Linked DNA regions of Elephas maximus indicus. The protein of the gene in region 3 interacts with the protein of the main gene of each other region in a biochemical or structural test. Links are inferred from orthologs where the notes say so. Each region holds a gene or a part of one and is shown on either strand. Other genes may lie near its edges.

Region 1 (7,239 bases), on a different chromosome or scaffold from region 3:
GGAAAAATGAGAAAGGTTCTCTTTGGCATCATCGCACATTTCTGAACCTCTCTCTGTCCTCTTCGCCTGTGTTCCCTAATATACCCAGTATCCTGCTATTGTCTTCTGGCTGCCCAAGATAGAGGAACCACCACTGCTCATTCTCTCTTCTTCAGTCAAAATCTTGATTATTTAGAAGCATTTCTTTAAATGAGACCATCAGACCAACCCTTAACTCATATAACGCTGTAATATAACAACTAAGTGAGCGTCTTAGTTATCTAGTGATACCATAACAGACATACAAGTGGTTGGCCTTAACAAAGAAAATTTATTCTGTCACAGTGAAGGAGGCTAGAAGTTCGAATTCAGGGTGCCAGCTCCAGGGGAAGGCATTCCTCTGTTAGCTCTGGAGGAAGGTCCTTGTCATCAATCTTCCCCTGGTCTCAGACCTTCTCCATGCAGGGGCATTGGGTCCAAAGGACAACGCTATTTTCCTGGCTCTTGTTTCTTGTTGGTATGAGGTGTCCCCCCACCTTCTCTTTTGTATCTCAAAAGAGACTGACTTAAAACACCACTTAATCTTGTAGATTGAGTCCTGCCTCATTAACATAACTGCTTCTAATCCTGCCTCACTAAAATCATACAGGTAGGATTTACAACACAGGAAAATCACATCAGATGACAAAATGGTAGACAGTCACACAATACTGGGAATCATGATCAAGTCAAACTGATACACTTTTTTTTGGCCGGGGGAGGGGGGGACAATTCAATCCATAACAGTGAGCATGACAGCTTTAAAGTATAATTTTGTTAGCCAAGTTTATATGGGTGGTAGAATATATCTGGAAACGGGGAAAGCCTGCTATTTGGTTATTTAGTTAAAATGTAAATATCAGTATATGATATGTCTTGAATGCATACTTTCATTGTGCTAAATTTTTGGAAAGTTTGAGATCCATTGTAGTGAAATATAATTACTGAGATTTCCAGAGAATTGAAAGCAGATACTGTATTTAATGTAGCAGTTTCTTTCATAGTAACTACCCTGTGCTTTTTAAGAGAAAATATTAAGTATTTCCTCAGGTATCTTAACCCTTTTCCTCAGGTATCATACCCTCCAGCTAATCCTCACCCATCCTTTTCTGTTCTTACTGTTTTCTTCTTTATTCTCACTTCCCCCCACTTTAAGTAGAAGAAAGTGAGGACAGAAGTCTTGTCATTAAAACTCAAACAGCCCCAAAATGCCCTCATTATTACTTAGATCTTAAACCTATACTCTTCACCATCCTACAAGGCCACATTTGCAACTACCTGTTAGATAGCTGGAAACCCTGGTGGCGTAGTGGTTAAGTGCTATGGCTGCTAACCAAAAGGTTGACAGTTTGAATCTACCAGGCTCTCCTGGGAAACTCTATGTGTCCTAGAGTGTCACTATGAGTCGGAATTGACTCGACGGCAACAGGTGGGTTGGATAGCTACACGAGTCCTTCTCAAGCATTTTAAATTTTATAGGACTAAATCTCAACTCACCTTCCCATTCAAATCTCCTTCTTTTATTTTCACCCATAATGGAAAGGCATCATTCTGGGCTCTGGGATCTGTCTCCAAGTCTCAACAAGGCTCTTTGCAGTTATCCTTGTATCCTTTCCATCCTCCTTGCCCTTTTACTTTTTGCCCTTTTATTGTTACTGCATAGGCCCTGACTCAAGTCCCTGTTACTACTTCCCAATGATTACAGTAACTTTTCTTCTTACCTCAATACCTTCTTTATGTGGTCCCATTTTCAGCACTGCCAGAGCTATCTTTCTACAGCATAGCTATAATCTAGTTTTATCTCCTGCTATTATTATATATATTTTTTTATTACAACCTTCAGTGGCTTCCAGGTGGCTTGGCATGGAATGCAAATTCTATTACAGTTCGCCCCAAACCATGTCTCACCTTTATATATTACTTTTCCTCAGGTATCATACCCTGCAGCCAACCCTAATCCATCCCTTCTCTGTTCACAGTGTTTTCTTTATTCTCACTTTTCCCAAGAGTGCCCAACTTGAAAGCCTCCTCTGTGACAGTTGATCCTAGCCTTCTCTCCCCTGTTCCTCCAGAGTAGATCCAGTGTCTCCTTCCTCAGTGCTCCCGTGGCTCTTCGTTCATAAACACTTTCTTATGGTGCTTGTCACATTCTGCCCTTGAGAACCGAAACTGTATCTTGTTCATTGGAGATTCCTCTACAGCCCAGGGCAGAGTGCCTTGCATGAAGTGGACACTTATATTTGCTCAATACAGTTGCTTCTGATTTTCAAGAAAAAAGTGCCTGCAATACACAAACATTATCCTGGAGCTTATGATACTTTTAGTCATTTTCTAAACAAAAAATCTTATCTGACTTTTCCCCTTTTAAGAAAAGAGACAAATACTTTCTAGTAGGATTTTTTTTTAAGGTAAGAAATTTTCAAAAAGCTCCTTTTTTGGGTACAGGGGAAGAGATGAAGGGGGGCAGTTTTTTATATGGGTTCCTATGGCATGAAAGAACACAATCTTGAAATACTGTTGTTTCTTTAAATGATTTATGATGTATTTCTAGAAACATTTTTTAAAGTGATAAGTCTGTTTCTTATTGTCCATATAGAAATAGATCCTTTATAAATAATTAGCATTGTAAATAATGTTAATAAGTATATTTATATTAAATAAATTTAATATCTATTTCTTGTGTGATGTCTTTTAAACCAAAACTTTTAGAGTCACAGATTTAAAGATGAACCTCACTGACCTCTTGGTTTTTCTGAAGGGAAAACTCTCCTTCACCCATAAATGATGTTCCGAAATTGGCTTCTACATCCAAGTTTTAATAAGTTAACTTACTGTGACTTAAGTGAATTAATTAGATGATAAGGGGTAATCTCGCGCATCACTACAGATATGCATACTGTGCCCTGAGAATAGAGAAAAGGTCTCAGATTACTTTTCCATTTGACCTACAGTGTACTTAGCTTTCTCCTTTGGGACCAGTTTAAAGATTGCAGGATTGAGGCAGTACTTTGCCTTAAAACCATCAAACACACAACAAATGATGGTAAAAGTAAGAGGTGGACTTTTACAGAGAATGAGTCATGAATTATATTTCCACTTGCCACATGCCCTTTTTCCATGTGTTCAGTTGCATAGTTCTAGAGGGAAATGACCTAGGAGATGTTCTGGTTCCCAAACGCACATTTGTTTTTCCTGACTTGGGCTTCTGCCTTGAATCGGCAGCTGCTTTTCTACAGTGCTGACCCTCAGTAAGATGGACTGACACTGTGGCTGTAATAATGGGCTCAAGCATAGCAACAACTGTGAGAATGTTGCAGGACCGGGCAGTGTTTGGTTCTGTTGTGCACAGGGACGCTGAGTCAGTACCGACTTGATGACAACAACAACGACCTACGCACCACACAATGGAAATTCTGAGGATCCCTTCTCTTAAAAGTCTAAACCACACAGTACTTTGCATACAGGGCAACTGCTCCTACCACACACTTTGCTGTCTCAGGTGGCCACCATCAGAAAGTGATGTTCTGTCAGTGCCCTTTAACACCTTTATTTACCATCAGGCATTGTCCTAGTGCATGAGGATACACCACTGACAAAGCAGGTAAAAACCAGCCTTCAGGGAGCTTACATTCTAGTGATTATATTCTTGCTCCATTTAATCACATCTCCATTATTTACTCACAATAATTGGTAAATAAAAACCTTGCCTTACGATATATCATTCTGCCTCGGCTCGTTTATATTTAAATAAGGAAATTTTAAATACTTGACTGGGATCTTGTTAATCCTCTAATAAAACCTAGAGTTGTTTGGCACAAATTAGAAACCGAATTGCCTAAAAACAATTGGGTTATGTTTTATTTTTATTATTCAAATCTGAGACGTTGACTCAAAACTTCCTTTTGACAAACACCGTACTTCTAAAAGTACCTGATGGGGACACACAGCTCTCGGCCATTGTCCCTCCGAGCCGACAGGGGGCAGGCGACTTTCAAAACCGCGGCTGGGTTCCTCTCATCCCTCCTCCCCACCCTCCCAACAGAGAACGTCACGCCCCCCTCTCGCGGCTCCTCCACACCGTTAATGCGCAGGCGCGGGCGGGAGCGCGCACCAAGGAGCCGAGGGAGGGGTCACGAACTCTGACCCCCCCCCGAAATACACAAACTCAAAGCTCCCTCCTCCCGCTCCCTGGGTCCTCTTACTCCCCACCTTTCTCCAACCTGTCTCCTCCCGGAACTCCCCAGCATCCGCCGCAGCGGGGCTGTCGGGTCTACGCCCGGAACAGGACCGAGCGCGGCGGAGAACCGCGGGTAAGAAGCGCCGGTGGGGAGAAAAGCGGCCGCACCAGGGGCGGGGGTCGAGAGTGTCCCTTTAACCCAACTGCCAACGGACGCACCCGCAGGACGCCCCCGCAGCCTGCGGGCTCCGGCCGGCAGGGCCGGCCCGTCTGGCACTGCCGCGGTGGGCTGCTCAGGTGGGGTTGGGAGGAAGAACGGAGAGTGGCCGGAGCGGCGGGGCCGAGTGTGCGGGGCTCCAAGAGTGACCGGCGCGGGGACGCGGGTCCTCGTGAGGGCGGCACAGCGGGGCGCGGGAGGTAGTCAGCGAGCTGCTCGGTGCGCACGGCCGCCTCTCCCGCCGCGCCTCCTGCGGCGCCTCTGACCTTTCACCTACAGGAAAAGCTTCCGTCTCGGCGCTGCTGCCGCTTCCCCCTCCCCAAGGGGCCGCGCGCCGTGGCTGGGCCTGTAGGGCGCGTGGCGGCTGGCGGGACTCAGAGGCGCGGGGAGCGGTCCGACGTGGGAGAGGCTGACCCTTTCTTCGAGTGGCCGCTGGCAGAGGCCTGAACCCTTGTCACCTAGGGACTCTCAGATTTTGGTGCTTACAAGTGACTGACGGAACAACGCCCGCAACTTTCACTTTTATTTTATTTTGAAGGGGGAGAGTGTCGCCGCTGCCTTTGGACCTGTGTCTTTTGCATGTCCGAGCACCCAGTAGCTTTTGTTAATAAACCCTGTCTTCAGCTCGCACAGATATCGTTCCATGAATTACAAATGTTGCTGAATTGCCCTGTAACCTGCAGTAAGTAGGTCAGTCTGTAATAAAACAATTGGAAAGGAAAAGGAAAAAAAAAGACTTGAAAGTAAAGCCTTTAGGGTTTTTGCGTCTCTGAAAGTTGTAAATAGGCTGTTGACCTTGAAGTTTTTGAACGGTGTTTGCTGTGTGCTTGGTTGTTACAGGAAGATTGTATTTCAACTTTGTATGTCCGATTGGTAGATCTAAAAGATACTTAGATTTTATTCTTATGAAAAATATATTGTATTCTTAAAAAAAGGGGGGGGTTTCACGAAATGTTGCTAATTTCATCATTCCTTGTGGAGGCATTTCAATTTTATAGGAATTGAGGTATTTTGTTTTTTATTGTGCTTTAGGTGAAAGTTTACAGCTCAGGTTAATTTTTCGTACAAAAATTTGTACACATTGTTTTGTGACGTTAGTTGCAATCCTCCCAATGTGAGGACCCCCCCCCCCCCCGCCCCATGTCCATTCGGCTAGTTCTTATGACTTTCCATCCTGTGTTTGGACAGGAGCCGCCCATTTGGTCTTCTGTATCTGAATGAACTAAGAAAAGAAGCACATTCCTCACGCGTATTATTTTTTGTTTTATAGTCCTGTCAGATCTTTGTCCGAAAAGTGGGCTTCGGGAATGGTTTCAGTTCTGGGTTAACAGTGTGTCAGGAGGCCATAGTTTTGGGGGTTCCTCCAGTTTCCAGTAAGTTTGGGCTTTTAAGGAAGACACAAACCAACGGCAGCAAAAATTCCTGAAATACCTACTTCTGTGTGTCTGCCGCAGAGCCTAATTCCTACCTTTGGGATATAAAAAAAGACAAAAGAAGTAGCATACGATAATTAATAAATATTAGAAATATAATTCCTTACTTTCTTTCCATACACATTGCTGTGGAGTCGATTTCGACTCATAGCGACCCCATAGGACAGAGTAGAACTGCCCCTTAGTGTTTCCAAAGAGCGTCTGGTGGATTCAAACTGTTGGCCTATTTTTGTTCAGCAGATGAGCTCTTAACCACTATACCACCAGGACTCCAAATCACAAAATCCTTCGGCAACCTTTAAAAATCTTGTTTTGAAAGCCGTGGACTCCTCCTTAGAAAAATGCACGTGCACATACAGTTTTGCATACAATAGAAAAAAAGGAGTTTATTCATGAATCCTAGTTAACAACCTTACTGTACACAGTAAATACTAGACCAGTCTGGCAAGAGTGGGTAAAAACTATTTGAACTGAGCTGGGGTGGGGAAGGGAGTGTAGGAGATTGGAACGATATATTGAGGAATAAGTAACATCTTTTTTTTTTTTTTACTTTAACCTGAATAGGTGGCGTCTCTTGGGAATGATAGGAGAGAAGATGAGGAAATCAAATTATAAAGGAGTTCGCCATAGTTTTCTCAGGGCCAGGCATGTAGTGGTTGCTTAATAAATACTGAAAGAATACCAAGGCAAGGAGTTAGGACTTATTCTTTGGCCATTAAAAAGACACCGATGGTTCCAAAGCAGGAAAATAAGGATGTAATTCAGTTCCGCAAACATGCTGAGAACCTACTTGCCAAAGCACTCTACCAGGTACTGATACAAAGATGGTTCTTGTTTTCTATTGTGTGCCAGCGATTCCTGCTCATATCGACCCTGTAGGGCAGAGTAGAACTGCCCCATAGGATTTTCTAAGCTGTAATCTTTACGGAGGAGTCTTGGTTGTGCAATAGTTAAACACTCGGCTGCTACCTGAAAGGGCAGCAGCTCAAACTGACGAGCTGCTCCATGTGAAAAAGTTGTGTAGGTCTACTCCCATAAAAATTACAGCCTTGGAAACCTTATTAGGAATCAGTTGGACAGCAAAGTGTTCACCCTAGCAGATCTCCAAGTCTTTTCTCCCGCAGAGGAGCAGCTGGTCAGTTCCAACAGCCTAACCTTTTGGTTAGCAGCCAAGCACTTAACCATTGTACCACCAGGGCTCCTTTCTTACCTTCTAGTGGCTTTTAATATGCATAGAGTTGTATATGTTAAATACACATTCAGGAAGCTCAGTTCTGGCAGTAGCTGAAATTTTACTCCATGTGTTAAGTTGGGATTCTTGGACGAGGAGGTTTTATGAACCCCTTAGTATTTAACATATGCTGTTGTTTGCACTGTGAATGTACTTGTGTGTA
Region 2 (7,535 bases), on a different chromosome or scaffold from region 3:
CAGTTTATTTTGGTCCATTTTTATGTCCATGTGAGTTAGTTGTTTCTTAAATAACCTATGACAAAATATTATAATTACTTTTAATATGAAATCTGATTAAAGAGTCCACATGATATAGGCATTTTGTTGGTAACTTAGGGTGCTTCATAAATTGCTTGATTTGTATATGTTGTCAAGAGTTGACCAACATTTATTGAGCCTGCTATGTGACAGGCTCTATGTTGACCAAACTTATAATTTTGTTTGTTGGCTACTTTTTAACTCTATAAGATGGAGAACACATTTATCTTGTTCATCATTGTGTCCTTAGCACCCAGCTTAATTCCTGCCACATATTATATTGCCAATAAATATTTGTCGTAAATGAATGAAATGTAGTGAATAAGGTAGACTTCTGCTTTTAAGTAACATAGTCTAGGGGGAGAAGGGATGACAGAATGTGATAAGTTTTATAAAAGTAGGTGCTATTAGATTCAGATGCTATAGAATAATTAACTGCTGAAAATAATTGTATGTTTGCATGGCTAAAGCACAGTGTGAGAGCCATTAAAGGCTTAGAAGGCCTAGCTATACAGTAGATAGGCAACTTGAATGGTGTCTGAGAAAAATGAGAATAGAAGTAGCAGTAGGTGAAGAGTACAGAAATTAGTCCCTTTGAGGATAGTTAGAAAGATTGGGTCTGTGTAGTTCCCAAATATAAGAGACTACTGTAGAACTTGAGAACCAGGTAATACTATTGGCTTCAGAAACAAAACTAAGAATATCCCCCAAATAGTTAACATGGTAGAAACTAGCTACATTATAGTTGAGGGAAGGTAGAAAAACAGGAGGAAGAAGGGTATTGAGAGCCACCCCCAATAACCCATAAATATTGAAAAATGATCAATTATTTACTGATATTGCTTTGAAGGGTTAACATATTTCCCCCCTAACTCATACCATACTCCATCCCAATGGTGCCTGATTTATTAAGAGATGTGATTTAGACACTTCGAAGAGTAGAAAGTTGATGAAGGACAATAGAATCCTGGCCTGGGAATTGGAGGTCCTAACGACTGAGACTGTAATTGCAACTCTGTCACCACTGGGCTATTCAGCCTAGAGAATGTACTTGTCATTGTGGGGCCTAGTTTTCTCATCTTATTAATAAAGTGTTGGACTCTAAATAGTTCCTCCCACTCTAAAATAGTATCATCCTGCCAATTTTATCATTTTATAATCTAGCATGATCTTAATAACGTTAAAAAAAAAGTATAATCTTAATAACATTTTAATAAAACATACCTTTTCAAAAAGTTAAAGAGACTCTGGAATCTAAGAGCAAGAATGAGATGATTGTAGGGATTTGAGTGAGATACTGCCCCTTGATAGGAAATAAGGCTGTTTGTCCTCTAGACCCAAACATATCTTGGGACATTGAATAGGAGTATCTATAGGCAGAATGGGGCTTATATTCTTTTCTATTTTATTAAAAAGAAGGAAAGTGCTGTGACTTTAATGATTTATTTTGCTCTATCATAAATTGAACCAAAAATCTGAGATTCAATCATATCCTTAAATATTATGTCATTGTGTCTGGATTACTTTGTAACATAATTAAGTTTCCCAGGATTAAGAGAGAAGGAGCAACCCCTTTATTGAGAATTCAAATTGAATATAGACCTAGTTCTATAATTACTTCAGTCATTTGGACTGTCAAGAAACTTACTTTAACTTGAATTACCTTAATAAAAACCTGTTAATAAAAGGTGTTTTTTTTTATTCTCTTGCTTTAAATAGCCATATAATTGCCCAACCTTCTACTTTGTTCTGTGCCGTTCAGATCTAGTAAGTGTTTTCCCACCAAACTATTGCTCCGTAATTGGCAGGGAAACTTTTACTAGTCCCCTTGAAGGATAACTGGTTATTCAGTGTCCGTTGGCTAGATTATATACATATATTCACTTGGGGAATATCAGGATATATGCAGCTGAGAGAATTATTGCCATCTATACTGCCCTATGTGGGGGCAACTTTTTAAATCCACAAGTCACTGCAATTCTATTAGGCCACTTAATGTGACAAGAGGTGGCTTGCTCCCACATTAGGAGTTTGGCAGAGCTAGCGCTTCTCCTTGCCAAAAAGGGCAAAGGCCTTGAGCAAGAAGCCAGCTTTTTCCTGGTTACAAAACTGACCACAATTCCTCGCCAGTCCATCAGTGTAACTCTATTTTTTCCTGGTAATGCATTCTTCACAGAGAGAACTCTGCATTTTTCATTATAACATGGCATTTATCATTTAAACTTCAACCCATGTTTAAACATCAACTAATGCAACATTGTTACATTTGTTATTGATGGATACACTTGATCGAGTTTTGAAAAAGCAAACCCTGATATATACAATCAAAACCATATCAGGCCCTACCCAAAGCAACCTATAGATACAATGCAATCCCAGTCCAAATTCCAACAACATTCTTTACTGAAATGGAAAAACATATCACCAACTTTATAAGAAAAGGAAAGAGATCCCAAATAGCCAAAGCAATATTGAAGAAGAATAACAAAGTAGGAGGCCTGACACTCACGACCTCAAAACATACTATACAGCCACAGCAACCAAAACCGCCTGGAACTGGATCAATGACAGCAACATAAATCAATGGGACAGAATTGAGAACCCAGAAATAAATTCATCCATCTGTGGGCAGCTGATTTTTGACATGGGGTCAAAGTCCATTGAATGGGATGGAAGTAGTCTCTTTAACAAATGGTTGCTGGCAAAACTAGATATTCATTTGCAGAAAAATGAAACAAGATCCATACTTCACACCATATCAAAAAAAAAAAAAAAAAAAAAAAAACCTCAAAATAAATCAAAGACCTAAATGTTAAAGCCAAAACTATAAAGTTCCTGAAAGAAAACTTGGGGACAAAATTATGAGACCTAACTTTTTTCAGTAACGGATTACCAAACACAACTACAAATGCATGAGCAACAGACGACAAGTTAGATAACTAGAACCTCCTAAAAATTAAATGCTTATGCTCATCAAAAAACTATTAAAAGAGTAAAAAGAGAACCTACAGATTGGGAAAAAAAACTTTGGGAATGATATATCTGATAAGGGTCAAATCTCTAAAATATATGGAAAACTTCAGCAACTCAACATCAGAAAGACTAATAGCTTAATTTAAAAATAGGCAAGGGACATGAACAAACACTTCACCAAATAGGACATTCACGTGGCCAACAAACACATGAAAAGTTGTGATCATTAGCCATTAGAGAGATGTGAATCAAAACTACAATGATATATACCCTCTCACCCCTGCAAAAATGGCACTGATCAAAAAATAGAAAACAACAAATGCTGGTGAGGTTGAGGGGAGATTGGAACCTTGCTCCACTGCTAGTGAGATTGTAAATTGGCTCAACCTCTATGGAAAACGGTATGGTGCTTCCTCAAAAATCTAGAAATAGAAATACACTATGATCCAGCAATCCCATTCTAGGCGTATATGCTAAAGAACTAAAACTACTGACACAAACAGACATACACGCTCATGGTCCGTGCAGCACTGTTCACAATAGCAAAAAGATGGAACCAACCTAACTGCTCATCAGCCGATGAATGGGTCAACAAACTGTGGTACATACACACAATGGAATACTATACTGCCATAAAGAATAATGACAAGTTCTCAAAATACATTATAACATGGATGACTCTGGAGGACATTATGCTGAGTGAATTAAACCAATCACAAAAGGGCAAATACTGTATCATCTCACTATTATAAAAAGAAAAGAATAGTTACACATACAGTAAGCAACATTCTTTGGTGGTTACCAGGGATGGGAGGGAAAAAGAGGGAGAATCACTTTCTAGATAGTTGATGCTTGTTAGTTTTGGTGATGGGTAAGGTAATACTGAATAAGGATGAAGTCAGCACAACTTGACCAAGGTAAATGATCACACAAAGAAATACACAAGAATAAGGGGTGATTTTGGTAAAAAGCCACAACATATAAAATTTTGCAACAACAGTAGTAACAACCAAAAAAATATGTGCATGGTTACATGTAGATGTGTGTACTTATATATGTATAGGTAAAAACAAAAAACACACCTCTAACCAGAAGGCTGGAGGTTCAAGTTCACCCAGAGATACCTTGGAAGAAAGGCCTAGTGTTCTAAGTCTGAAAGGCCATCCTTTGAGAACTCTGTGGAGCACAGTTCTACTCTGACACGCATGGGGTTAAGTTAGAATCTACTTAACAGCAACTGGTAAAAGTAGTAGAATAAATATCTTAAAAAAAAACCAAAGAAACCCACTGCCGTTGAGTCGATTCCAACTCACAGCGACCCTATAGGACAGAGTAGAGCTGCCCCTTTGAGCTTCCAAGGAGGACCTGGCGGATTCAAACTGCCAACCTCTTGGTTAAAAACTGTAGCGCCTAACCACTACACCACCAGGGTTTCCATAATAAATATCTTAGGATTATAATATGTTGATAACAAATTTAAAATGAGTGCATATTCGAATTCAAAAGTTTACTTCAGATAACGTGGCTACAGATTCAACCAGGAATGGACAGCTAGAAAAAAACTTCGTCCAAATGAATTTCTCTGGTATTTCATAACCCAGGGATTTAAAGTCTTCCATTTTAGGAAGCTCTTGAACAATCTCCTTGCTCTGATAATTCTAAATACTGTACAGTTCACACCTCTCACAAGACTCTGAACATGTGGGTTACTGACGAGACAGTGTGGCAATATTTTTCTTGTAATGTACCAAGTCTTGCCAAAGCAGTGAGCAGCATTATGACACCACGTTTTGTCACAGCTGGCTCCCTAACAGGATGGTGCCAGCCAATTCAGGCCTGGTCCTTTCTGTGTTTATTCCCACTTCTCCCAAATATTTGGAAACTGGTGTCTTGATTCACTGGTGTATTCATGTTTTATTACTGCAAGTCTTTTTCGTTTACCGGATTGATTCTTTGCGAGGAATAGACAAAGTATCATTGTGAATCACAGCGAATCTCTTTTCCATGCTGGTATGGGTGAAACTCTGGGAGATTCTCTCATTGACCCTGAGAGCTGTTGCTTCAGTGATACACTGTCTGCAAGCACTTCACAAGGTAAAGTCTGTTCTAGAAAGGGCTATTTGGGATATTTTTGGCATTAAGTAAGGGTAAAATTGCTCGTCTAGGTTCAGACTACAGAAAAGTTGTTTTTCAAAGTATATTTATTCTAATACTATCGTGTCTATATTTCAGTACTTTAATGCTTAGTTTTCTGCCCCAATGTTCACTTATAAAGAATATTCAAAACCTTTGGGAGGGGGGAACCTAATAAAATTATTTCTGTGCATGGTTCTTACTTCCTGAATTGTAGGCATTAAAGGCGCATGTATATCCTAAACCAGTCTTATTTGTTTTTATTTCCTGAGTTTGTATACATTTCCCAAAAATACTTAAGGAATTTTTGGAATTTTTGAAGAGTCACTTTCCCCCCATTAGTCTTTTATGCTAGATATTTCTCACAGGGCTTTCTATCCCTCTTCCAGCACTTTTATTCCTCTTAAACCTCTCTGAGTACTTTTCTGTTCTACTTTGAAATCTAGGTATTTGTGTGTACATTTATCTCGCTGAAGAATTGTAAGCACCCGGAGTGTAGGGACCAAGCTATATTCTTTCTTGTGTTTCTTAGGATACCTAGCATAGTGCCTACTCTGTTTTAAAAGCATAGATTGTGGGGACCTTGAAGAACATCCGTTCTAAGAACCTCATTTCACACTTGAAGTAAATGAGTTTCCTAAAAGGTTAAATGCTTATTGTGTGCTAAATAAGATATTACTTCTGCGAGGATATGAAAGATTCAAACAGCGACTTCATTTTTCAGCATTTCTTTCTTAGCCATTGCCAAGTTTAAGTTCTTCATTTCTACAGCTCCTTCTACTGGAGTTTCTTAGGACAGCTTCTTATGTTTTGTATTGTTTCATATTTATTTCTTTGTTTCTATTTGTTTTATTTTTTTTCTCTTCTCATAGGCCTCATGTAAAAATAGATTGTGTTAACTAGTGTGAGTCATGTTTTACACTATAAATGCTAAGGCATTAATGTTAAGTCACCTAATTGTTTAAATGGACGCTTCTATTTTAAGCTTTTGATCTTTATGAAAGCCTAGAACTTTAACATATTAATCACAAATTTTAAAAGCATCATTTTTTTTAATTAAGAAAAAATATTTCCTGAAATACTGTTTCAGTTTATTATAATCCTTTGACTCAATGTATATTTCTATCTTGCTGATTTCTATCTTTCTGAGCCTCTTATATAGGACTTTATTTTCATGATGCTGTGTAAAATGATGGTATTCTATTTTTTTTGCAAGCCATAAAAATTATTGCTACCTTTCTTCAGTTATTGATTTAGCCTGCATTAGGGCAAAATGTCCTAGCTATTCCATGAAATAATAGTACTTGAATCAAAATGTGATAGTTTTCTCTGTTTGAAAAGAATATCTCTAGAGTGTAATGCAACAAACCTTTTAGGTTCTCTGGAGGCAAGTACAATAGAAGTCCTGTATATTGTAAGGACGGTTATGTGATTCAAATTGGTTTTCTTTCTGTGCTAATCTCTTACTTTTAGTGCCTTGAATTTTCCCTGTTTAATCTCCTCCAAAAGAAGAACCCAGTACTTTTCTTCTTTAAAAAAAGCTATTGTGATAAAATATATATTATAACCAAAAAATGGCTGTTATAATCATTTTAAGTGTGCAATTCAGTGACATTAATTACATTCACCATGTTGTGCGTGGTCATCACTATCTATTTCCAAAAGTTTTTCATCACCCCAAAAAGAAATTCAGTATCCCTTAAGCAATGACTTCCCATTCTCCCCTCCTTCCAACCCCAATAGCCACTGATCTACTTTTGTGTCTGTGCATTTGCCTGTTATTTTGCCAAATACGTGCCTTATATCTTATATAAGTAGACTCACACTTCTCCTTTTGTGTCTAACTTATTTCATTCAGCATAACGTTTTCAGGGTTCATCCATGTCATAGTGTATGTCTGAACTTCGTTTCTCTTATAGCCGAGTAACATTGCATTGTATGTGCGTACCACATTCGGTTTATCCATTCCTCTGCTGATGGTCACTTGGGTGGTTTCCACCTTTCGGCGATCATGAATAGTGCTGTAATGAACCTTCTTGTACAAGTATCTGTTTGAGTCCCTGCTTTCAAGACTTTTAGGTATATATCTAGGAGTGAAATTGCTGGGCCATAGTACTTTTCTTTTATTAGCAATTACAACACATTTTGTACCAGTAATTTAGTCTCATATTATCTTACATGGTTTGTGATTACATCTTATTCGTGTTGTTTTCTGTTAAAATATAAGTTCCTAAAGGCCTTCTGTTGTATTTTATGGGTAACCAGTAAATATTTACTGATGGATTGACAATTTCAATTGCTACCCCCTGCCAAAACAGACAAAAAAACTTGAAAATAAATAAGGAATGTGATCATTGTTAGCTACCTGG
Region 3 (7,679 bases):
TTACAGCCAAAAGTTGGAATTTCTCCCATTTTCACTCTCACCCATTTCTGGGGCTAGAGCCCACTCCTTTTCCTCCGTTCCTCTCCTGCAATCTCTAGGATTGGAACTACCCCTTTCTTTTCCACCACCACCCCATCTCCAAGGCTGGAACCCCTTCTATCCCACTCCTGAAATCTCTGGGGCTGGAACCTACCCTCCTCAAATCTTGAATGGCTCCGCCCATGTTTGTCTCCACCCTGGGTCTGTGCCCCACCCCATCCTGGGTACCAGGGCCACTTGGGCTGGGGGCAGGGACAGAGTCAGGCCTTGCGAATCAGAAGGAGCTGGAGCCAGTATGCAAAAGCAGCTGTAATGGTCTGAGCGGATTTATTGACAGTGAATAAAGGGCAGGAAGCCCAAGCCAAGCCTTGGCCTCTTGCGCCAAGAGGGCAGGGGGCCTAAGGTGCTATTGCTTTAAGGGCCCACCAAAGGCAGGGGCCTGCTCCCAGCTGCCACGCTCTAGCATATGGAGTGAGGTGTTAGGAAGGCAGGTCAGGTGGCCTGTTGGCAGGCAAGGGAATGGGAAGAGACTGACGGGTGTATTGAGGGCTACTTCTGAGGTCCCCCAGCTTGAGACCATGAAACTCCAGGTGGAAGTAAGGCTGGTCCCTCAGCTGGGGGCAGTGCTGTCCAGTGGAGGGGAGGGGCTTCATGTCCACCCACCCCGGACTCTGCCAGCTGGTAGTCCATTCAGCAGCAGCGAAGAATGAGGCTTGGAAGAGAGGGAGGGTAACAATGTTGCCTTCTATTTAAGGTCTGTCCCAGTTTTTTCCTGGTGACACAGGACCCCTTCACTTCCGGGTTCCTGAATCTACCCCCTGAAGCACATGCCCACTCCCCACCACCAAACCAAAAATTTGTAGCAAAGGCTAAAGCCTGCAGTTCACCTGGGGGTTCAGGGAGCTGACGGGCTTGAGTGGGGGGTAGGAGGATAAGATTCACTGCCCTGGGTCCCAGGCAGACTCACCTCACATACCCCCTGCTCCCCGTGGTGGGGACACCTGAGAGAAAAGGGAGGGGTCAGCAGTGGAAAAATAGTCCCCAGAGTAGGGGACAACAAAAGCTCAGTCTGCCACATCCCACTGAAGCCCTGGCCATGTCTTCATACCTGGTGATCTGAGATGTCCAGTTTGGTTGCTTTTGCCTCTTGACTGGGCAGCCCCGGACTTGGGCCCCTGCCTCCGGCCCCCAGCACCAGCTCTGCAGAGGCTCCAGGGTTCCCCTCAAGTGCACAAGGTACTATGCTACTGTCCCTGAGTCCTCCATTCTGCACTGGGGGGCTGGCTAGGGCTGGGGACTGTGGCCTGTTAGGGGGCAGTCTCTCCATGGCAGGCATCCCTGCCCTGGGCTGTCCTCCCCCAGATCCCTGACTGCCCCCTGGGTCCTGTCCCCCACTAGAGCCCCAGCTCCTGTCTGTTGGGGAGCCATCACGATGCTCATGCAGCCCATGGCGTTTCTCAATGTGTGTCACCCGAAACCTGGGAGGGGAGGGAACACTGGAGCTTAGGACCACAACTGAGAGGCTTCTTGCCCTCCTCTCCAATCAGGGACATCCTGGGTGTGATGGCCACTTCCCTCTGGCCTGGGCAGGGGAGGCCTTCTCAGACTTTGGGGTATATTGTGCAGCCTGACCCTGCTGCAGCGCCCAGTCCAGGAGAAAAGAGCCAGGGAGGGCCCTTTGGAGATCCTGCATGGAGTCCCACCAGGCCCACCTTTTGAGTTAGATGCCTGATCACTGTGGCCCCCACCTCTACCTCCCTTTCCCTGGAACACTGTGGCCCCACCTGCCCACAGAGAACACGGTGGTCTCTCCAGGCCGGGGTCGGCTCTTTCCTTCCTTGGAGCGGCCCTGACGGACAAGTGGGGGCCTCTTGCTGCGGCTGCAATGGATGCAAGGGGCTGCAGAGCCCAGATGCACTGTGTGATGGTGGGAGGGGGCTCCATCCTGCAGGCTGGAGGTGGCATCCACGCTGGACAGGAAGGAGGAGAACAGGGGTGACATTCCCATCTCCCTTCCTGTTCTGTTGCCTCCTGTTCTTTCAGCATGCTCGTTAAACCCCCAGATATCCCACTTCCCCAAGACCCCAACATTCTTTTCTTGTCTTTGTGTAATAAACTCAGTATTAAGATGTCAGTGACCATGCATTCTCCCTCTCGGGACTGTTTGCCAGAAAGAGAATAATGGTTAACCCAAAGGAGTGGCATTAAGGGTGAGTGTTAGGCTTGCCGATGTTCAGGTGGGAGAGATGGTTTGAAGGACCCTGGATTTCTACAAAACTTTTTACCTATAGGTGAGCCAACCTTGCCATCTACTTCCATGCCCCCACAAACATGCAAGGAGACTGGGAAAGAATTGTGCTGGAGGAGAGTACTTTCCAAGGCAACCAAAGCCATGCTGGACCTTATTTCCAGGCAACTCACCTGGACAGCTGCACTGTCCCTTCTCCTTCACTGTCCCCCAGCATCTCCTTCAAGGCCTCAGCATTGGCTGAGGGGAGAAAGAAAAGATGGAGTTAGTGGAGGTCAGGGCAAGAGAAGGGGGTGGGGAAGGAGTCAGCCTACACCTACCTTCATTTTGGATGATGCATCGAACAATCCTCTCTACTGTGTCCTCATTCATGTCATCCTCCTCAGCTGAAGGATGAAAGAGGTTGGCAAGGAAGAGAGAAAAGAATCACTTTGGGGGGGGGGCATTACCTGGTGGTTCCTGTGGCTTACTCCTCAAAACATATCCCTTAATCTATTTGCTCTCATGCTGGACTTTAGCATTTCAGGAGCCAGGCCAGGGAAGATGGGGAGGTCAATGGGAGCCAAAGACCTTCCTCCCCATGTTGCCTCCTCTAGTCTTGCCTTTAGGGTGGTTTCACCCCACTTGCTGACTCAAGGAAGCATCACTAGGCCTCCTGCAGGCTTGACTGGGATCGGACCTAGGTCTGTTGGCCAGGGAAAGCGGAAAAAGATGTGGGGAGAAGCGTTTAAGAGAGAAAGATGGCTGAGCCAGGGTTCCCGGCTCCTGACTCACGGGACTGGAGCTGGGCGTCGTCAGGCTCCGAGCCCCTCGATGTGCGGCAGCGGTAGCCCTTCTTCTTGAGCACGTGGCAGATCATGAAGCCTACGAGGCCCATGAGGAAGAAGACCAGCACAAGCAGGAAGAGCATGTACAGCTCATGCTGGGGAGGCTCCAGGTCAGGCTGTGGTTCCGACATGAGGCCCTGGGGGGCGAGCGCGGGCCAGGGCGCCTCCTGGGGGGAGGGGGCTGCAGCTGGGGATGTTGGGGAGGGGTAGGAATGCCTCAGATTCCAAACTGGCAAGGCTCAGAGATCCGGTCCCACCCCCTACCCAACCAGGGAGCTGTCCGGGCCAGGGGTGCTGGTGCGCCAAGAGCTGCCGGGACGCGGGGCCAGACAGCGGCTGCGCAAGTCTTCTTCCACGACCCTGGTCCCGCTTCCCCGACGCCCGGAGCTTTCCCCTTTCCAGCTCGTCCCTGCTCTTCCGTCCCTCCCAAGGACACTGCAGCGCAAGACGGGACGGAATTCTCAGGCGGCGGGCGCAGGAGTCGCGCCTGAGTCAGCGTTCGCACCCGCTCCGCGCCGGCCTGGGCCCGGCCTCTGCAGCCCCCTCCCCTGCCTTCCTTCCCGCACCCTCCCTTTTACGATTCCTTCCACCCTGAGCACCTGGCCCACCCAGTACCGGTGGTTCGGTTCTGGCTTCGGCTCGGGTTTCGGCTCCAGGGGCGTCCTAGTCCTGCTCGGGGCCCCCGACGCCCTCCCGGCGCTCATCCCTTGTTTCCTTCCCCTCCCCCTTCGCCGCCTCACCGGCTCCGGGCTGCGGCTGCGGCTACCGGTGCAGCGGCAGGCGGGGGGAGGGAAGGATGGAGAGGGATGAGGGCTGGCTGGGAGCCGCAGCAGGCTTCAGACAACTCCGGCCCTGGGAAGGAAGGGGGGTGGGAGGCGCCGCCGCAGCAACCCCTGGGTTTCCAAATGCCTTCGCCCGCCGCCGGCCCGGGACCGGGGGGCGGAGCGCAGGTGTGCGGAGCGGAGAGCTTGAGCTGTGCGCGCGTGTGTGAGCGCAAGTGTGGTGCGCGCGTGACTGGCTGGCACCTCTCCGGGGGGAGCGCGGCGCCGTCTGAGTCCGGGTCAGGACAGGCGGCCCGGCCCGGCGGGTGTGCTCCCCTCTGGTCTATCCCGCACGCCTGGAGAGGCTCCTGTCCGCAGATGCCCTAGCCGGGCGGATAGCCAGGGATCTCTCCAGCGGGCAGGCAGAAACCGGTTTTCTGCACCCGAGCGCGGCGGCGTGGCTGGTTCTCCAGAGCGTACTAGCGGGGCGGGCGCGGAGACCACGGCCGCACTCTCCTCTGGGGCAGAAGGCTGGACTAATGGCTCGGCTTCACGAAGATTTGGCCCCCGCCCGGAAGGAAATGACCCTCCCACGCTGAGACCGAGGTTACTTGTCCAGCACTCGAGCCGGGACGCTTACACCCAACCCCCAGGGGCCTGGCCAGCCGGGGGAGGGGCGGAGTCTTGCAGGGGGTGTGACCTGGGCGTGGTCTCACGGAGGCGGGGCCTAGGCCTCCCAGTTCCGCAGAGGCGGGCTGCGTACATACGCAGCACGCACGGCCGGGGGCGGGGCTGGCGGCCGGGCGGGCGGCGGAGGCCGGGGCCTGGTCCCGCGGTCGCCATGGCCAAGACCGTGGCCTATTTCTACGACCCGGACGTGGGCAACTTCCATTATGGTGAGGGATCAGGGTTGTGTGCGAGGGGTTTCAGGGCGCAGAGGTTTCGAGGCAGGGGCTGCAACTCCGGGGGTGGACACTGACGAACTCTCTTCTCCCCACCCCCATTGCCCAGGGGCTGGACATCCTATGAAGCCTCATCGCCTGGCATTGACCCATAGTCTGGTTCTGCACTACGGTCTCTATAAGAAGATGATCGTAAGTCCCGCTGCCTCTGCCATGTGTTAGGGGTGGGGCGAGCTGTGGTCTTAGGGCTAGGTGGGCTGGACTGAATGCACCAGGTGCGATCTGCATACGAAAACAGGAGCGGGGGGGTGGGGGGCGGTGTAGCTGGACAGAAGGCACGAGGAGAAACCTCCCTCCAACGTGTTGAGGATGGTGTTCTCTGACTTAACGGGAGTTACTTTTTTCACTTAAGGTCAGCCACCCTTTGGCCCCAAGTGGACCAGCCCTTGACCTAGGGGTATGGTGGGGTGGGGCTGGGTTGAAGACCTGATGTTTTCATCCTTAGCGTCTTAGTGTGTGGGTAGTGCTGTGGCCTTAAGGGTGGGGGAGGGGCTGGACCACTGTACCTGACTGTGGGGTTTACCCTCATTTCCCACCTTTTCTCCTCATGTCCTGTTTCTTTCTGGAAGATGTTAGAGCTCTCGAGGGAGGGCCCACCAGCCTTGGGTGTAAATGTGTATGCGTGTATGGAGGGAGACAGGAGACATCCTGGGTATCTCCTTTCTAACCTAGAACGCTGCTACTCAAACCTTCATCTCCCAGACATCACACACGCTGCCCCCAGCTTGTAATTTATAGTTGTGATTTGGCGGTATAACAGGCCTAACCCTTATGCGTTGTGAGGGGAATTGGCCAACAATATGAATGAGTGTCCGCTGCTTGTGCTGAGGCACAGTCAAGTGGATTGGTCATAGAAAAGACTGAAGTGATGTTAATGCACGAGTCAATGAATTCCCTGAAATCATTTGCCTATATATACCTGTGTGCATTTTCTAGAGAGAGAAAAACTGCACTGTTCTTGCCCAGTTTCCAAAGGGGCATGTGAGGTACCCAAAAGATACTAAATCTCTGGTTTAGTCCTTTGGGTTTTAATTAGAAGGTGGTCTTTGACTCTAGAATGGGAGAAGGGAGGGGATAGCTGGATAGAAGACACCAGGAGTAACCTCCCTCCTTCTCCAGAGTGTAGAGGATGGTGTCCTCTGACTTAACGGGGGTTACTTTTTCACTTCAGGTCAGCCACCCCTTGGCCTCAGGTGGACCGGCCCTTGGCTTAGGGGTATGGTGGGGTGGGGCTGGTTTGAAGACCTGATGTCTTCATCCCTAGCATCTTAGTATGTGGGTAGTGCTGTGGCCTTAAAGGTGGGGGAGGGGCTGGACCACTGTACCTGACTGTGGGGTTTACCCTCATTTCCCATCCCTTCTCCTCGTCTCTTCTTTCTACCTGGAAGATGTTAGAGCTCTAGAGGGAGGGCCCAGCAGCCCTGGGCTGGAGGTGGGAATGAGGCAGGAAGCCCGGTCAGGGGGCTCGATCATAATAACCCACTTGGCTCATCAGAGCCTGTTTTCTTCAGGCGCAGAGTGACCTTTGCCTCACAGAATAACAAGGATTGGTGTGTTGTGATGTGATGTCCGTTGCGTGTGGTGTGGTGACTGCTGCGTGCGGACTTGAACAATTGCCAGGGTTGGGTTCAGTGTGAGTGGTCTCAGCCCCGTGAGTGGGCATGACCCTGCCTGGGTTCATCTTGTGTCTCCATCCCGAGGTTTTCAAGCCATACCAGGCTTCCCAGCACGACATGTGCCGCTTCCACTCCGAGGACTACATCGACTTCCTGCAGAGAGTCAGCCCCACCAATATGCAAGGCTTCACCAAGAGCCTTAATGCCTTCAATGTGGGTGATGACTGGTGAGGAGAGGACTGGGAATTTTGATGCTCGGCACTTCAAAAGGGGGAATTCTTGCACGAGATCTTGTGGCAACAGCACTGGAAAGCTAAGAAGAGGGCTTACTTATCAGTGAATCACCACTTTCTCATTTGTTTATTCAGCAAATAGTTATTGATCATTTGCTATAGGCCAGATCTGGTGCTAAGTGCTGGGCATACAATGATGAACAAAAATGAAAAAAGCTAGGAGGTGGGAATAAACAATCGTGGAGCTTGCAGTCTAGTGGGAAGGCAATCATCTAATCTATACATAAATTTAATATTGTGGTTGTGCCAAGTCCTATGCAGGAAGGGGTACATGACAGACTGTGAAAGCGTATAGTTGGGAGAATAATCTAGTTTAGGAGGAGGCTGGTCAGGGAAGACTTCCTAGAGGGAGTAAAGAGAGGATTGAACTGACATCTGCAGAAAGAGCAGGAAGTGATTAGGTGAAAGGGGGTTGGGTGGCTGGAGGGGGAGAGAGCATATGGTGGGCAGCAGGGACTATATGTGTTAATGGTCTCTGGTAGGATAGAGTATGACTCATTTGAGGGACAGAAAAAAGGCCGAGTGCTGAATATGAAGAGGAGAGTGATCTGAATTGAGGTTAAAAGAGACAGGCGTGGCCTGACCTTTTAAGCAGCCCTATCATGCAAACCCTGGTGGCATAGTGGTTAAGAGCTGTGGCTGTAACCAGAGGTCAGTGGTTCGAATCCACCAGGCGCTCCTTGAAAACACTATGGGGCAGTTCTACTCTGTCTTATAGGGTTGCTATGAGTCGGAATCGACTCGACGGCAACGGGTTTTTTGGATTAAGTAGAGAGGGGCCCTCGTGGTGCAGTGGTTAAGCACTCGGCTGCCTGTGGTTCAAACCCACCAGCCGTTCTGAGGGAGAAAGATGTGGCAGTCTGGTTCTGTAAAGATTACAGCCTTGGGAACCCAATGGGCCAGTTCTATTCCATTCTATAGGGTCACTATGAG

Evidence for each region. The genes of interacting proteins can lie anywhere in the genome.
Region 1: the proteins of HDAC3 (region 3) and NR2C1 form a complex in vitro, tested with the Homo sapiens proteins (4 studies listed by BioGRID). The link is inferred for Elephas maximus indicus from reciprocal best matches to the Homo sapiens genes HDAC3 and NR2C1.
Region 2: the proteins of HDAC3 (region 3) and PPARG form a complex in vitro, tested with the Homo sapiens proteins (3 studies listed by BioGRID, with this or other methods). The link is inferred for Elephas maximus indicus from reciprocal best matches to the Homo sapiens genes HDAC3 and PPARG.

The regions. Positions count from the first base shown.
Region 1 is NC_064822.1:160,425,795-160,433,033, reverse strand, and holds the start of NR2C1 (nuclear receptor subfamily 2 group C member 1), read left to right. Parts: upstream 1-4,234; 5' UTR 4,235-5,102; intron 5,103-6,409; 5' UTR 6,410-6,655; exon of another isoform or gene 6,656-7,239. UniProt on the Homo sapiens protein: Orphan nuclear receptor. Binds the IR7 element in the promoter of its own gene in an autoregulatory negative feedback mechanism. Primarily repressor of a broad range of genes.
Region 2 is NC_064838.1:37,499,554-37,507,088, forward strand, and holds the start of PPARG (peroxisome proliferator-activated receptor gamma), read left to right. Parts: upstream 1-4,530; 5' UTR 4,531-5,045; coding exon 5,046-5,127; intron 5,128-7,535. UniProt on the Homo sapiens protein: Nuclear receptor that binds peroxisome proliferators such as hypolipidemic drugs and fatty acids.
Region 3 is NC_064820.1:154,963,394-154,971,072, reverse strand, and holds the start of HDAC3 (histone deacetylase 3), read left to right. Parts: upstream 1-4,665; 5' UTR 4,666-4,716; coding exon 4,717-4,771; intron 4,772-4,886; coding exon 4,887-4,969; intron 4,970-6,537; coding exon 6,538-6,680; intron 6,681-7,679. Other genes in the region: RELL2 (RELT-like protein 2), read right to left, coding at 1,008-1,040, 1,148-1,517, 1,824-2,009, 2,461-2,527, 2,608-2,673, 3,062-3,245. UniProt on the Homo sapiens protein: Histone deacetylase that catalyzes the deacetylation of lysine residues on the N-terminal part of the core histones (H2A, H2B, H3 and H4), and some other non-histone substrates.